Linked DNA regions of Drosophila melanogaster. The protein of the gene in region 1 interacts with the protein of each later gene in a pairwise test. Each region holds a gene or a part of one and is shown in the gene's direction. Other genes may lie near its edges.

Region 1 (8,802 bases):
AGGTACTCCTTCTGGTGTGGATTGGGTATGTTGTTGTCAATGATTTGGCCGGCGGAGTTGAGCAGGGCGAGCACGTCGTTGGTCTTGCGCTCGATCATAAGGATCATGGCGCGCGAGAGCAGGAAGAGCACTTTCAGGTACGTGGCGCTCGCCTCGTCGGCACTTTCCGCGCCCACGGCCAGCAGTTCGGAGGCCAGCGAGTACTCGCGATCGCTGGCATGTATTTGGGCCAGCTGGAGCAGCAGCTTGCAGTGCCAATAGACGTTGTTTTGCGACAGTTCCACGGCCCGCCGGAGCATCGCCTTGGCCTGATGCGAGTTTCTGTCCGTCTGCAGATGCAGTTGGGCCAGCAGCGAGGCGGTGTCGAACTTAACGTCGAAATTGGGCAGCGGTTCGGATATGCTCCACGCCTTCTCCAAATGCTGGCGCGCCAGATCGATGTTCTTAGTGTAGGCCATCAGGATCTGGCCCATCTGCAAATGTGTCCGCGCCTCGACCTTCGAGGGCGGCATAAATGTGAACAGGGCTTGAAGACACTGGATGCATTTCTTGATGTTCGGCGGCTGCGAGGTGCGGAAGTACTCCGCCAGGCCAAGGAGCGATATGTAGCAGGCGTCCTGGGACGCCGCCGTCGACGTGCTCGTCGATGCACTCATTTCGGTGAGCGGGTGCCAAATTCGGTTTGTTTATCGCGTAATTTTGTTGTCAATTCGCGACTATTCAATCACGGTGGTGGCTGCCAGTGTTGTCAAGTGCGGAATTCTAGTGGTGAACCAAGCTTTAGCGGTTATCGTTTAGCAGTCACAGTGGCAGTCACTCTTTTTCAGTACCGCGAATGGTCCCGTTCAGCAGAACATAAAACTTGAAAAAAGCTATCGCTTAAAAACAAAACTGAGTAGATAATATATATTTCTGTACGAATCAAAAATTATTTCTTTTTGCAGTAATCAACTAAATAAATTTAATAAATATAGAAAAATGAGATAATATTATTTAAACATGGTAAATTTAGCAGAACTCCAATTAGGAAACCAATTCTTACTTTAAATCACTGTTTAGAAAAACCGTCTTATTTCAGTGACGGAACAGTACGTTATCAATTTAAATTCGAGGATCAGCTGCGATTTCGCCCGCTTATCGCATTATTCTCATTATTTTTAAGCCTAGCTCTGCCGTTTATTGCCACATGCATTAGTCAGTGATTGTAAGTGCAATCGGTTGGACCACCATTGTTTCCGTTTTGATTTAAGTTCTGTGCAAAATTCCGTTAAGGTAAAACCCAAGATTCTTTTAAAATAAATATTTCATACGCTTGTATCAATAACGACTATACATAATAATTTATGTTTGCAATCGATTTAAACACATACTCCGGCACATGAAAGTTTCTTATCAGTATAAATATACTATATAATATATATATATATATAAATATATATGTTATAAGAATTATGATGAATACAAGAAATACAGAATTCTAGGAAATGTGAAGAAAGAGATTTTTTTAATGGTTCTGAGAAACTTGTCTCAGTTGGGCTCGTGTCAATGTTTATATTTAAAATCCTATTGTAAAAAGCTCATTTTTAATAGTCCGACAAAATTTGGATGTGCCACAAAGTCGATTAAGGATTCCAACACTATCTCTGGCAAAATCCCACAATATACATACATATGAACAATAAACTATAATGTTATGAGGCCAAGATTATTTAATGATTCATGTTTTTTCTTTGGAAAAATTCACATTGTGAGAAATAATATCACATCCTTCACTATTTATTAGTTCTAGTTCATAAATTCTTTATAGTTCATACTTAATGAATGTCCTTAAATTTTTAGACAGTACCAACTATGCACACCTTCAGTTTGGTCCTGTTGGCCCTCCTTCCCGTAGTAACCATAGCTGCCTTGGACAAGCCGGAGCTATCATTTCTAAATGAATTCTCACAAATTTTCAAGGGAGAACGAGACTTCTCCTTAGCATTAATGAAACAGATCCGAGAGATATATCCCAGCGGCAATCTGTTCTTCTCGCCGTTCAGCACCTACAACGCCCTGCTCCTCGCCTACTTCAGTTCCTCCGAGCAGACGGAACGTGAGCTGGCCCAGGCACTGAACCTGGGATGGGCATTAAACAAACAGCAGGTCCTAGTTTCGTACACGTTGGCACAGAGGCAGGACGAATTTCGTTGGCGCCAAAGTCCCATGGAGCTCTCGTCTGCGAACAGAATTTTCGTCGACAGGACAATAAATGTTTCCAACAAATTCAACACTTTACTCTACGGGGCAACCAAAGAATTGGATTTCAAGAATGATCCGGAGACTGGCCTAAAGGAAATTAACGACTGGATAGCCGATAAGACGCACAACCAGATCCGCGACATGCTCAGCTCCGAGGAGATCACACCCCACACCATGTTGGTGCTGGCCAACGCCGCCTACATGAAGGGCCAGTGGCTCAGCCAGTTCAAGGTGGAGGAGACCGCCTTGAAGCCATTCTTCATTAACGAGCGTGAGCAGGAAATGGTTTACATGATGCACAAGACGGGCGCCTTCAAGATGACCATCGATGAGGGCTTGCAATCGCAGATCATCAAGCTGCCCTACCGCACCATATACAAGTCGAAGGAGACGCACATTTCCACCCCCGAGTCCAAATCCGATATCTCCATGATTATCATTCTGCCGAACTCCAACAAAATCAGTCTTAACCGTGTCATATCCCGGCTAAATGCCGATTCCGTTAAGAAATGGTTCGAACGGGCATTGCCGCAGAAGATCGAGTTGTCGCTGCCCAAGTTCCAGTTTGAGCAGCGCCTGGAACTGACCCCTGTAAGCTATGACCTAACTGGACCACTTGAGTCGCACTAACACGTAAGCTGTTACCTTTTCAGATCCTCAGCTTAATGGGAGTGAACACAATGTTCACGAGAAACGCCACCTTTGGAGACCTGACTGCCGATCCCATTTCCCTTGTCATCGATGACGCCCAACATCTGGCCAAGATCAAAGTGGACGAAGTGGGCAGCACTGCGGCAGCGGCCACCATCCTCTTGGTCAGCCGATCCAGCAGGCAGCCCGATCCCACCAAATTCAACTGCAACCACCCGTTCGTGTTTCTTATCTATGATGAAAAGGTAGACACGATTCTCTTTGCGGGCGTCTACAGCGATCCCAGGCAAATGCAGCACTAGAAGTGTTTTAAGACTTGTGTGTTTTTGAAAAACTTGAAGAAAAATATGCTCTATAATGCACCAACTGTTATTTTCATTTATTAATTTCGATATAAGCTAGCTTATTGAAAGGTAATACTTTTAAATTTCCATACAACTCTCAAAAGCTCATATCCAAGTCACAACATTTGTATCGCAGTTTAAGTAACAACTTTTGCACGAAACGCAAACCCGTTGAAGCAACCCACATCTTGACTTTCTGAGTGACAATCATCGGATATCGATATCCAAGCTGCGCTTTGGGTTTTAAGTACCAAGCTACTTTGGAGCACCGGACTCAGTTTATAGTTAGACGCGCTGGTGAACGGACTTGCAGTCGTTCCAAGTAATAGTTGTATATCGGTGCCACTTAAGCCTACGTTTACTCGAAGAAGGTATTTCCCAGTGATCATCCAGTTGTGTCTGTCCCAATTTGTTCAACTCCCCGGCAATTGTGACGATCATTAAGCGAACGAATCGGGTTGAAATTAAAGCGTTGTCTATTATTGTAACACTAATCAGCATGCAAATGATTGCACAATTACACATACATACGTAGATATATGTTTACGCATATAGGGATTTGAATATACATACATATGTACATATATCAGGCACGCATTTTAAATGGGCCAGTGTATTTTCGCTGTTTATAACTTTTTGCCACTATAGCCTTGATTTGATTGATCTCTGAAGTGCGATCCCATAATGACCTCCAATTTAATAGGTTTTTCACTTGATGACTTTAAAGAAAAATATTGTTTTGAGTGACACATAGCTCTGCGTTTATAAATAAAACGGGGAAAACACTGAAATCGGAATGAAAATATTTATTTAATTTTGTTGTGCAAAAATAAATAATTTTGCCTTAGTCACTCATATGACATGATTAAAAAGTAAATCGCATTTGTCCAAGAAATTTGAATTCTACTTATATTTATTTACTAAGAAATTTCAAAGGAAGTGCTTGTGTTTTTGACAAAGCAATTAATCCAAGTTCAATGCAGCTTAATTTTGGCTGACATGTCCATTTCCACCTGTCAGTCAAAAAACTGGTTGTTCAATATTTTTTGGATTCGCCCAAAAAAAACCCAGCAAAACGCACAAAAAACGACGCGCATGCGCAGAAACAGCGTTACGTCTATGGGGTAAAAAAAAAAAAATAAAAGACCCAGCCGAAAGCAATTACAAAATCGCCCATACAGGGTCAACAATGAGCATTCATACGCGTTGAAATACGTTTATGAATCATATACTATGTATATTGGTAACTGCCGGTGGTATCCGCAACCGGTTATCGAAAATGTTAATTTTGGGTTTTTTATTTTCACACAACAAAGCGCTTTTCACTGCAGTCACGCAACGGATGACTTCGTCATCGCTCAGCTGCTGAAAGCAAAACTGGAGCTATGGTCATCACAAAGCTCAAGCTCCCAAACCGATCCCCGATCCGATCCGATCTGTGGGCGCTCCTTCATGCTCCGATGGATGCATGTGGGAATGGCTGATGTATGGATACATTATGTTCGGATTGCGAATTTCGAGTGCAGAGCAGCGGAAACTTTCACTTTTTTTTAATGTCGCCTCTGCGGAGATGTTGCAACTGTCGTCTGCAAATAGCTGACCACTCCATGGACTGGAAAAAGCTTTTTGGTGAATCAGCCTAAAGCGATCTTTAACGACCTCAAATCGGTTCTATATTTTCTAAAAAGTTTCAATCACAAATCATCTAAGCTAAGTCTATAAAATATTTCGTGATTGTTTACAACAATTCTGCAGTAGTCGGTTTATGTAACTAGAAAACCCTAATGACTTGAAGTTTGGCAAACTAAGTGAATATTAAGTACGTAATTAGCTGGGACTTGCAGTTCTAATTTAACTACTCCCATAATTAGTAGTGACTTTACACAGAAATCACTTTGGGGAATTTTGTCAATATTTCTGGGAGATTCATAAATTTTTCTGGCCTGAGTGCGCTTTAAATGCTTAGTTGTCTAATAAATTAGATGAGAAATTATACCAGGATTCAATGCCGGTCACGTATTCCACACAAATCACACACTCAAAAATAAAATGGTATACAAGGTCACATATTTAGGGGTCTTGTGCTTTTCGGTTACCCATTTCAATCACATGTGCTTGCAGCCGTTAAAATAATTGCTATTTTAACTTAAATCATGTTCCAATTTTTAGCAGGCTTCCACATCATGCACATCCTCAGCATATCTCTAATGGCGGTCCTGCCGGCCATCGCCTTAGCCGGTCTCTGTGGGGTTGAGCCCGATGCGGGTTTGTTGGATCAGCGGCTGAACCTCTATAAGGGCCAACAGAACTTTGCCGTGTCCATGCTGAACGTGATTCGGCAGAGCACTCCCAATGAGAACGTCTTCTTCTCGCCGTACAGCACGTATCATGCCCTGCTCCTCGCCTATTTCGGATCCTCTGGTGACACGGAGAAGGAGTTGGCCAAGGTGCTGCATCTGGATTGGGCCGACTCGAAGGAGGTGGTGCGCAGTGCCTATATTCTGGAGAAGATGAACCGTAAGGAGCGGCAGAGCAAAATGCCTCTCGAGTTCTCCTCAGCCGATCGCATATTCTTCGCCAATGATCTGCATGTGACCGAATGCGCAAGGAATCGTCTGGCCGAGGAGGTGCAGCAGATCGACTTCAAGAGCCAGACGGAGGAGTCGCGCAAGCAAATCAACGATTGGATTGCCAAGCAGACGCACGATCAAATCCGCAATATGCTCAGTGCCGATGAAATCACTCCGCGCACTCGTTTGGTCCTGGCCAACGCCGCCTATCTGAAGGGTCAGTGGCTCAGTCAGTTCAAGACGGAGAAGACGGTGCCCATGCCCTTCTACACGTCTCCGTCGAACTACTCTCTCGTGTCCATGATGCAACAGAAGGGCACCTTCTTACTGAATGTCGACGAACAGCTCCGCGCCCACGTGCTTCAGCTGCCCTATCGCACCGTCTTTGAGTCTCAGGAGAAGGAGGACAGCTCGCCGGATGAGAACTCGGACATCTCCATGGTGCTCATCTTGCCGCCATTTAACAGTAATTCCCTCGAAGATGTGCTCTCCCGGTTGAATGCCGACAGTCTGGATGATTCGTTGAAGCAGGCAATGCCCCGCGAAATCGAAGTTTCGCTGCCCAAGTTTGAGTTTGAACAGCGCCTGGAACTTAATCCTGTAAGTTTAGACTTTTTGATTCCAAAGCTTGATTTAGTTTTGACCTGCTCCATTCCTTAGATCCTTGCCAAAATGGGAGTTAGCAAAATGTTCGATGAGTCTGTCGCTACCTTCGATGATCTGACCTCCGAGACGATTTCCATCGGTGACTCCAAGCACGTGGCCAAGATCAAGGTGGACGAGGAGGGTAGCACTGCGGCGGCGGCCACAGTCCTCTTCACCTACCGCTCGGCCAGGCCCGTGGAGCCGGCCAAGTTTGAGTGCAACCATCCGTTCCTGTTCGTCATCTACGACCGCACTTCCAGGTCGATCCTATTTACGGGCATCTATCGCGATCCCAAAACAATAAAGCAGTAAAAGATGGCGGGCTTTAAGGTGCTGCAACTTTGCAAGTAATCTAACCAAATTATTTTTCGACTGTAAAACACGATGTAAACTTTAAAAACAAACTTTAACCATAATAAATTATGCCTATAACAAGAAACCTAATGATTTTATTCATCACTCATACAGGTTCTTAAATTTAAAAGAAAGAACAAGATTTATCCCGCCCATTAAGCGCACTTTAAAATCTTTGTTTTGCTCAATTTAATTAGTTTTTCATACAAAATTCGCATAAATAATCAAATCTACAAAGTTTCATTTTGGTTGTTTCCATTAAGTAAACACGGCTACGTAAACAAATATGCGAATAAGGATCTGCGTTATGAAGGAAAGGATACAACTCAGAGGAGCGTGGGCATCGCGATGGCTCTACACGCGTATGTACAATCATCTTTAATACTTAACACGAAACCGAAACTAAACAAACAAATTAAAGCGATACTAGACAATTGGAAAACAAAAGAATTAATTGTGTGAACTAAAAATGTATGTCATGGCCGAAGCGGAAAGCACTGAAGGCACTTTTGTTTTGGATGTTTGGCAAGAAGAAAGCTACGTTAAAAACATCAACGCATTTCTAGTTTTAAACTAGTTCAACACGATCCTTGCCTGATGCTCCTCGAAGAAAAGTGGGGTTTATCAGGTAGTAACTAAAACTAAATCTTCATAATATTGTGGGGTCGTCAGCGGGCAATCTCGATTGGAGTATAAAGGCTTCGCCTAAATGTCATCCGGAGGTATGGCGACAGCGTAGATGGCGAATCCGATGAACACAATGCCACCCACAATGGTGACAGTGCGCACTGAGATTTTGGAAGCCACGAGACGACCACCAATCACAGCCAGGCCGGTGCAGATGCAGTGGCCAATAATACCGCCAGCGATAACGCCGTAAACGTCCTGCAACGGATAATAGCTTCATGTACCAAATCATTCCGGTTATTTTTATCCAAAGTGCTCACCTTGCTAGCGGCGAGAATAATGGTGGTCAGTTGGGAGCGATCGCCCCACTCGGCCAGGAACGTCATTGTGAAGGCCTGGGCCAGGATGCGCATGGTGAAGTAGGTGGCACCCCGTTTCTGTGGACGACGACGACCGCTCTCGGCGTCATTCACCAGCGCCGCGTTCACATCACGATCCAGCTGTAAAGGAAGATGGGGATTTTTAAGGATCAGTATGCGAACAGCAGACAGACAAAAAAGATTCGATGAAAATGTGCGCAAACAAAAGGATATAAGACAGCAAATTAAAAATACATGTAAATACTTTTGAACCAGAAAACTCGGATACCACCGCTTTTCCTTCTTAATAAACCAAAAATATAAACTAAAATCAAAAATCAAGAAACGATCACTTCATCATAACAACATGCAGAGAGAAAAATCGGGTGAGATGTGTGCGCTTCGAATGTAATTTAAACGAGACTAATGGGTAATAAAATACCGAGGCGACAAAACCAAATGCCAGATGACTTAGAGTTAAAAAATAATTGATGCTTGTGTTTTTCGACTGTAGTGTCACTGTTTTATGAGTGTTTTTTGTTTTTTTTTTTTGGTAAAAAGCAAGTGAAACGTATATATGATTAGCTAACAACGAAAGTTAGCGGTTGTCAGTTATATAGATTCTCATTCCGATTACAATTTCTAGAAATAAAACTGATTAAATCTATTAATATAGGTTACTCTTTTTTTAGCCTCTCACAGCACTCAGATAAATTTAGCTTAGCTCTACAACTCTTTGGAAGTCTTGAGATTTGAAGTTAATTAATCATTCTTTAATCTAAATGATATGACTTTAGGGATCATAGTCCATTCGACAATCTCCATCTAAGTGTGTAGCGTTAATACAAAAACCAAAAATTCAATCAATTCCAATTTCGAAAAACGTAATCGAATGGGAACCGGAAGCGGGACAATCGCAAATACGGTCTATGTCCTAACCCGTGCTTTGAGAGCGCCATTCACCGGTCCGGATTCTCCGTTTAGGCTGCCATTGAGACTGTGCATGCTATC
Region 2 (8,090 bases), on another chromosome or scaffold:
GCGGTGTGCATAAGAAATGGCATGAAAAGTACTCCTTTTTTCATTGGATTTAAATCCCATTATCATAGGAAGAAATAAGAAATTTAAAAAAAGCAGTGCTTGTCAACTGAATGCATTCATTTCTATTACAAAAACGTAGTGCGTTCCATTGTGCATGTAAATATATGCAGTCCCAGTTTTATATTACGTGTCAAAACAAAAGATTGACCTTTATCATTGGTCGTTTTACAACCATTGTTTATAACTTTGTAGAAATACAAATAAAAACTTCTTTGATAAACTTTATCCGCTGACATGTTTTAAATCATAATTTAAGTAAATCATGATCATTTAAATAATAATCTCAATATATAATACCTATTACTTTAGTTTATTTAAAATCCGAAAATCGTTTCGAAACTTATTTAAATTTGCTTAAATTGAAATATCTAAAATATCCGAAGCCAAGTATTATTTAATAAGAAATATGAATAGCTAAACGCCTTAATGAAATGATTTAATTAGTTTAAAGTTTTAAAGTTGTCGTTTTTACTCATAATTAAAACGGTCGTAAAACTTTAGTACTTTTTTAAAACATCTCCATGTACAAAATGTAAAAAATGACACCTAACTGTCATCAATTTTTTGCTAAACTGTTTGCACACTTTGGTCCCCATAAACCCACTCATTCTAAAGATTATTGACTTTCGCGAGCTTCCACTGTGAAGTGCGAGTATCTGCCCCATAATGACTATCCGTCGGACAGGCGGACTTTGTCCACAGCGGCTGTAGCTATTTCCAACGGAGAAGTCATCGATTGGCCAAGGCTGATTAGATTCCTCCTCCGGCAGCGGCCTTAGCAAAAGCTATAGCCTATAGGGCTATGGGCTATAGCTCCCGCTGATATCTGGCGAATATCTCTGCCGTGCGGCGGTTGCCCCAGTCCATTGCCAGCTGGTGGTGCAGGTGGTTGCCTTCCCGGATTTCACGATTTCTTTTAACTTGGCCGCGTGCTTTTAATTGAAGAAAACGCAGCTCTTGTGTGAGTGCGGGACCTTGTGTAGTGGTCATAAACTAGGTGTTCCACCGTTGGGACCATAAAGTGCGGGTTTACGAGCACTACCGGGAGAACAACCTACAATTAAAGTAGTGATTACGTAAAGACAGCCGTTTTATTGGTTAAACATCGCTATTTGCAGATCAAAATGGGTTCCCTGGAGAAGCTGAAACAATTGAGACTGATACACCTGTGCATCGCGCTCACCTTCTTTACCAGCGGGCTGTGCATCAACTTTATCCAGCTGCTGATGCACGTCTTTATCAAGCCCATAGACAAGCGACTCTTCCGCAAGTTGATGTACTATGCCTGCTATTCGCTTTACTCCCGTGAGTATATCCTGACCAGTTCCGATTCGAAGTAGAAACATAATACCTCCAATCCCTTAGAACTTATCTTCGTGTCCGATTGGTATGCCGGCAGCAAGATGACTGTCTACATGGACAAGGAGGACTTCGAGAAGCATGCCGGCAAGGAACACGTCCTTCTGATCATGAACCATAAATACGAGATCGATTGGCTCAACGGCTGGATGATCTGCGAAAAGTTGGGCGTGCTGGGCAACTGCAAGGCCTATGCGAAGAAGGCAATCCGCTACGTGCCCATCATCGGCTGGGGCTGGTGGCTGGCCGAGTTCGTCTTCCTCAATCGAAACTTCGACCAGGACAAGACCATCATCACCGAACAGCTCAAGGTGGTCTTCTCCTATCCCGATCCCACCTGGCTTTTGCTCAACGCCGAGGGCACTCGCTTCACTCCCGCCAAGCACGAGGCATCCGTAAAATTCGCCCAGGAGAGGGGCATGACGGTGCTGAAGCACCATTTGATCCCGCGCACCAAGGGATTCACCGCCAGCTTGGCACCCATCCGCGGTCTCTGTCCGGTAATCTACGACATTAATCTAGCGTACAGGCCCACAGATAAGGTAATTATAACGGCAAACTTCAAGCACTTCATTTAAGTGCTTTAGTTATATAATACTGTATTTTATTGTGCCATACATTTAATGCAGAATTCTGCATGGCAAAGCTTCTCATGTATATTTTTGATAAGGCTAATCAGCCTGTTCGACAATACCTGTCTGATTGCTTTGGTCTAATCAAATTTCTTTTCGTTTAATCCGATTATTTTGCTCATTTACTTCACTGCCTCTTTTAAGAGTCACGATTTCTTAAGATCGATGCTCTTAAAGATACCGATTAGAATGAGCAAACATTTCAAGGTTAATCAAGTGGTAATTTTTATAACTTATTTTCCTTATTTTGGTTTATTTTCCTTACCTTTGACGTGTCATCAGTATTATTAGCACTTTAGCCAGCATAGCAACCTTAATTTTTTAACTGAGTAATTTGGCGTTCTAATGATAAGTGCATAGAATTTAGCAAATTGCAAATTTATTATGGTTTTAAATTAAACTCGCAGAAGTGAGTTATAAAAGATGCTTATAAAGATACTACAGTTTTAGCTACTAAAAGGCTATTTACCGGACTTAATTAACTTGCAATTGAACTTTCAGACCCCCGCCACAATGCTGAGTTTGCTGCATGGAAAGAGCGTGGAACCGCACCTGCTGATGAGGCGTATTCCACTGGAACAGGTTCCGGAGGATGAGAAGGAGGCGGCCGCCTGGCTGCAGAACCTGTTCGTGGAGAAGGACAAGATCATCGATAGCTTCCTGGAGACGGGCAGCTTCTTTAAGACGTCCGGCATAAAGGAGGTTCCGGCATATGTGAATAAACGCCGGCTGTGCTCACTCGTGAACTTTGTCTGCTGGGCGGTATTCTCTCTGTCCTGCATTTTCTACTACGTGATCACATCCCTGCTGGCGGCCAACTGGACGGCCTTTATCACCGCACTTTCCGTCCTGGGACTTTGTAAGTTTGGGGTTCGATCTTTAAGGAGGATGGCACTTTAGACGGCATTAGCCGTTCATTCTTTAAGTTTTAAGAACTTTTTGGAGTGTTAAATGCTAAAGTTCATATATAATGACGTCTGCATGGTTATAACAATAATATAAGCCGCGTTCTAATGTGTTCCTACTCCCTCCAAAACCTTAACTTTTGTAAATCTTATTAATATTCTTTTTTTCTTGTTACAGTTTACTGGCTCATGGGTCAGGCCATCAACAAGACGCAGATCAGCAAGGCATCTAATTATGGATCCTCCAAGTCGGTCGCAAAGTAACTTTCGAATTCGCATTTAGTTTCGATTGTCGTCGAACTCAATTATCTACAAATGACTTTGTAAAAGGCAGTCCTCTCACAAATCTCTCTGCTAAATGGATCAATTCGTGATTCCTATCCGGACGATTTAAAGTGTTTTGCATGTTTTTCTTGTCTAAGTTTATAGTTACGAAGTAACTCCCGCACACTGGAGCCATCAATTTGCGTACGTAGTTGGTAGTTGTACACCTAAGTGGAAATTTAATTGTTTGATCAATTGTATTTTGGCGAGCATTGCAATAATTAAATTAAACAGAACGTGAGAGCGTGAGTTTGTTGTTGTTGTTTTTTGATAAGGCGTAAGGTAAGCAGTGCGCTGATAAGGGCTGCTGATAAGTGTGGACATGCAAGCAGTGCACCTAAAGAGTGACCTTAACACAAAATACCAACAGTATTTCTAAACTGGATACTTGAAAATTACACACATACGTGTGTAAAATAAATGTAAAATTTCGAATACATTGTTTTTGAGATTCCCAGAAATGCTTTCAAAAGTTACCTTTTGAACAGGAAGGAAATGAGCAATAAGCAAAGCATATTATCCAAATATTTGTGTTTATCAGCATTCTTCCTACACGTTCGTTTCTTTATCAGTTGTAACGATCAGAAGCAGCACACGTTCCGTTAGTTCGACTGCTTGCCCTTGGCTATATGATCAATACAACCACACGCCAAGCATAAAATCGCCTTTATTCGCCGATAAGCAGTGTCGCCCATTCCAATTGACTGATAACAGGTGATTAAAAGTGTTAGTTGTGGGTTTCTGGGTTGTACTATCGACGAGATCCATATCACTAGGGGCTCGGGCCGCCTAGAAGAGTCACTTTCATTCAGTCGAATTCTACTGGTTGGTAGAACAAGTTGCAACTTCCTGGTCTCTAATTGTTAAGATTCCGCTTAGATAGGTGAGTGAGTGTGTGTGTAAATGAGAAAGTGGACTGTCGCAAAGTGAAACTGAAACGTGTTGAGTTCAAAAACTAGTTGTACTTATGGCATTGTCATTATCATTGCTTCTACCAAATTTGATAAAACAAAATGAGGATTGTACAGCTTAGTTCGATTTTCCTCGTCGAACTATGCAATAAAAAATATCTTAGTTAATTATGAAATGCGTTGTACTGTTTTCCCGATCCAACGATAAGAATTCAAATTACTAGTGTCTACTGTACCAATACCGTGTGTTGCGCGTGGGTGTGTGTGCGTTTACGGTACTATAATTTAAGCATTTCAATTTTCATGACACATTGGGAGCAAAGTTTGAGTACTGGCCATATAATAAAATGTCGATATCGCGCGCTGGACATATTTATGAACTGCATTGCAGACATGACTTTCGATTACGTAAACGTTTCTCCAACGGACTGAATTTATTGAGTTGCGTCTATTCTTAGCCTAGGATGTCGCATCTCCGGGGTTTGGGGCGACTGCTGATCGCCGTGACCTTCTTCACATGCGGATTCTTCGTCAACATTGGCCAGCTCCTGCTGATTCTCCTCGTGAGGCCCTTCGATAAGAAGCTATCCCGCAGTCTGGCCTACTACCTGCACTACTCCTTCTATTGCAGTAAGTAACCATCATATTAATATAGATTATCATATCATTATGAGTATAAACGTTTCACATTTCATTCACATTAAGTATAGTGTAGTTTTCAGCACACTTCCTGTTTTCCTGATTAGATTAGGTATATGCAAGGTCTTCTTTTGTATAAATCACTTAGTTTTTACATTTGATGATTAAATGAAATAACGTAAAAGTGGTACTTTTTGATAATTTAAAAACTATCCTCACACTTTAGTCCTTGTCTGTGTGGCGGAATGGTATGCGGGCAGCAAGCTGAGGGTGTACATCGATCCCCAGGACGAGCAGAAGTTCTTCGGCAAGGAGCATGGACTGCTCCTGATGAACCACACGTACGAGATCGACTGGCTGACCGCCTGGATGATCACCGACAAGCTGGGCAATCTGGGAGGCACCAAGGCGTATGCCAAGAAGATGCTGCGCTATGTTCCGGTCCTGGGATGGGTCTGGTGGATGGCCGAGTTCATCTTCCTTGACCGCAACTTCGAGAAGGACAAGGTGGTGATCAAGACGCAGCTGAAGGAGGTCTTCTCCTATCCGGATCCCGTGTGGCTACTGCTGAACGCGGAGGGCACCCGTTTCACACCCGCCAAACACGAGCTGTCAGTCAAGTTCGCCGAGGAGCGAGGTCTTCCCCTCCTCAAGCACCATCTGATTCCGCGCACTAAGGGATTCACGACCAGTCTGCCCACCATGCGTGGCATCTGTCCTGCCATCTACGACATCAATCTGGCCTTCAAGAAGAATGCCGAGGTGAGAACTTAAGATCTCATATATATGTATATATATTTTAAATTACATTTTCGAACTTGAATTAACTTACAGCCAAAGCCCACCATGCTGTCCCAGTTGAACGGAGAGCCCGTGGAACCGTACATGTACATTCGCCGAGTGCCACTGGACGTGGTTCCCGATGACGAGAAGGAGGCCGCCGCCTGGATGCAGGACTTCTTTGCGGAAAAGGACAAGATCATCGACAGCTTCCACGAGACCGGCAGCTTCTTTAAGAATTCCGGAGTCAAGGAGGTGCCCGAGAAAATCTACAAGCCGCGCCTGAGCACGCTCCTCAACTTCTTGGGCTGGGCCACCTTTGCCGTCCTGTGCATTCTGCACTACTTGGTCACCTCGCTGGTTGCCGGCAACTGGTTTGGCTTCATCACGGTTCTTTCCATTTTGGGAGGATGTAAGTTGAGAAATTCTAGTTTCGAGGATATGTGCTTAACTTTACAACTTGTACTTCCAGTCTATAGCCTCATGGAATACGCTGTGAATGCTTCGAAGATCAGCAAAGCCTCTGCGTATGGAGCAGCTGCTGCCAAGAAATAGATTTTCATACCTGAGTTTTATAAACTCTGCAACAGTTTTGGAATATACGACCTATGGACTAATAACTCAACTGCACTGACCATAGAAATATTATGTACATTGAATATGTACGATAAACCATTGTAGTTAACTGAATAAAATAACATTTTATGCGAAATTCACTTACAGGAACTAAATGATTCTTAGAGGCAAATATTTAATATGTGTTTGTACATCCAATCGAAAAAATTTCTCACAAATTCACTTACAAGAACTAAAAGTTTCTTTGAGGCAAATATTTAATGTGTTTGTACATTAAATCGAAAAGATTTCTCAGTCTTCTACCACTTATATAAACGTCGTAGTTACAAAGTTTAAACTTCTTGTACTTTTGTTTTTCTAATTAGAACATGTGTTGTATATTTTAGCCATTTATACAATAAATGCTATAAAATTAGGTTATCGAATTTCAAATATAGATAGTGATGTCCAAAACGATAACTGCTTATCGCAATCAGCTGAGAGCGCCTAGTGCGACCCTTCGTGTAAGCAGTGCAGCAAGACATTCAACGTTTTCAGCCAGCTGGATTCAGTATTCCGCCGCTCGTCACCTGCGGTCATACTGATTGCAACTTCCCAAATTTCTTACAATAATCCAATGAAAATTAAAAAACATATTTTCGTACCTTTAATGCAATAATATGTGCATTTTGAAGGTGAGTCAGTGCAGCACCAGTGCCAAAAATTGCATTAAACCAAGTTTGTGCGAAATCCACGAAGCAGAGTGAAAAGTGAAACGTAACGAAAAAAACGTTGAGAGAGATTTTCGTGTAGTTCATTGTTTTTCCTGGGGGATTACTTGGTTTCAAGGACCTTTCACTGGCCTGTGGCCCTACTTTTCGAAGGTGCCATTCCTTGGGTTGGCACAACCTATAGGATACTGCCCGAAATTCCCTTTGTTCGCGTCTCGAAAGAAAGCGGATGCTTGATGACGTTGAAAGCGAGTTACGTTTGTGTCCCCCATAAAGGCAGTTATGCGTGTGTGTGTGAGTGGCTCTCTCTCTCTGGGGTCTCAAAAGGAATATTAGCGATCCTTTGAGCACTTGAAGATCCGAAAAAGTTCTCCAGGAAGTGCAACTGGGGTATAAAAATATATAGTTGCTATATATACATACAGATATACTTGCATGCGTGTACAAATGCCCTCGCACACAAACAGCAGCAGACGAGTGTGCGTGTGTGTCTGTGTGGGGGGAGCACGCGAGTGTGTGCGTGTGGCGACAGCTGACGTTGGGGGTAAGGCAAGAAGAAGAAAAAGACGAAAGCGAAACTTTTTACTGTGCCACTTTTGATCGTTGTAAAAGGAAAATAAGACTATCTTGAGTCACGTCACTTTCATCGTTACATCAATTCGATAATAACGAGCATATTTTATGGGATATTAGATCTTTACACGATTTACCCTTTTATAGATCGATAATTTAAGTATTTATAGGTGGGCTCTATACAGATCTTATTGTGATAGATTCCATTAAGACTTATAGATGTAGGCTGCCACAAGTCTGTTTCAAATATTATACTTCATTCTCAGAAAAAACTAATGTTTTCCATAAAGTTAAATCTGATAAGGATATACATAAATTGAATTACCCATAGAGCATATGTGTGAACATTTGTAGCATGATTTCTTTACCCAAGATAAGAAACATTACTCATTCATGCTATGAAATTTTAAAGGCAGTATTACTTCCGCCATTCCTACAATATATATGAATAGAATATGTTTAACAAGCCTGATTCGGGTAATTTGTTCCGATTTCAATATCACCAAGATTCCATTAAAATAAGATTTTCCTTACCTTTTGGCTTATTTTATTTTAATTGGTATTTTTATGTAATTTACGCACAGCATGCCGATTCAGGCTCCCTCATGGACAGATTTTCTG

Evidence for each region.
Region 2: the proteins of Spn88Ea (region 1) and Agpat4 interact in a two-hybrid assay, tested with the Drosophila melanogaster proteins (one large-scale study listed by BioGRID).

Annotation. Positions count from the first base shown.
Region 1 is NT_033777.3:15,201,154-15,209,955, reverse strand, and holds Spn88Ea (serpin 88Ea), read left to right. Parts: upstream 1-3,508; 5' UTR 3,509-3,607; intron 3,608-5,405; exon of another isoform or gene 5,406-5,408; 5' UTR 5,409-5,419; coding exon 5,420-6,406; intron 6,407-6,466; coding exon 6,467-6,763; 3' UTR 6,764-6,887; downstream 6,888-8,802. Other genes in the region: Mau2 sister chromatid cohesion factor, read right to left, coding at 1-656; Spn88Eb (serpin 88Eb), read left to right, coding at 1,852-2,832, 2,895-3,194; CG42542 (uncharacterized protein), read right to left, coding at 7,511-7,690, 7,753-7,932, 8,731-8,802. UniProt on the Drosophila melanogaster protein: Serine protease inhibitor with activity toward trypsin. Negatively regulates the Toll signaling pathway and suppresses the expression of the antifungal peptide drosomycin.
Region 2 is NT_037436.4:16,377,202-16,385,291, reverse strand, and holds Agpat4 (1-Acylglycerol-3-phosphate O-acyltransferase 4), read left to right. Parts: upstream 1-3,721; 5' UTR 3,722-3,994; intron 3,995-4,110; exon of another isoform or gene 4,111-4,163; intron 4,164-4,649; exon of another isoform or gene 4,650-4,654; 5' UTR 4,655-4,655; coding exon 4,656-4,821; intron 4,822-5,056; coding exon 5,057-5,592; intron 5,593-5,664; coding exon 5,665-6,022; intron 6,023-6,082; coding exon 6,083-6,165; 3' UTR 6,166-6,318; downstream 6,319-8,090. Other genes in the region: Agpat3 (1-Acylglycerol-3-phosphate O-acyltransferase 3), read left to right, coding at 1,179-1,365, 1,426-1,961, 2,553-2,910, 3,135-3,220; roq (roquin), read left to right, coding at 8,055-8,090.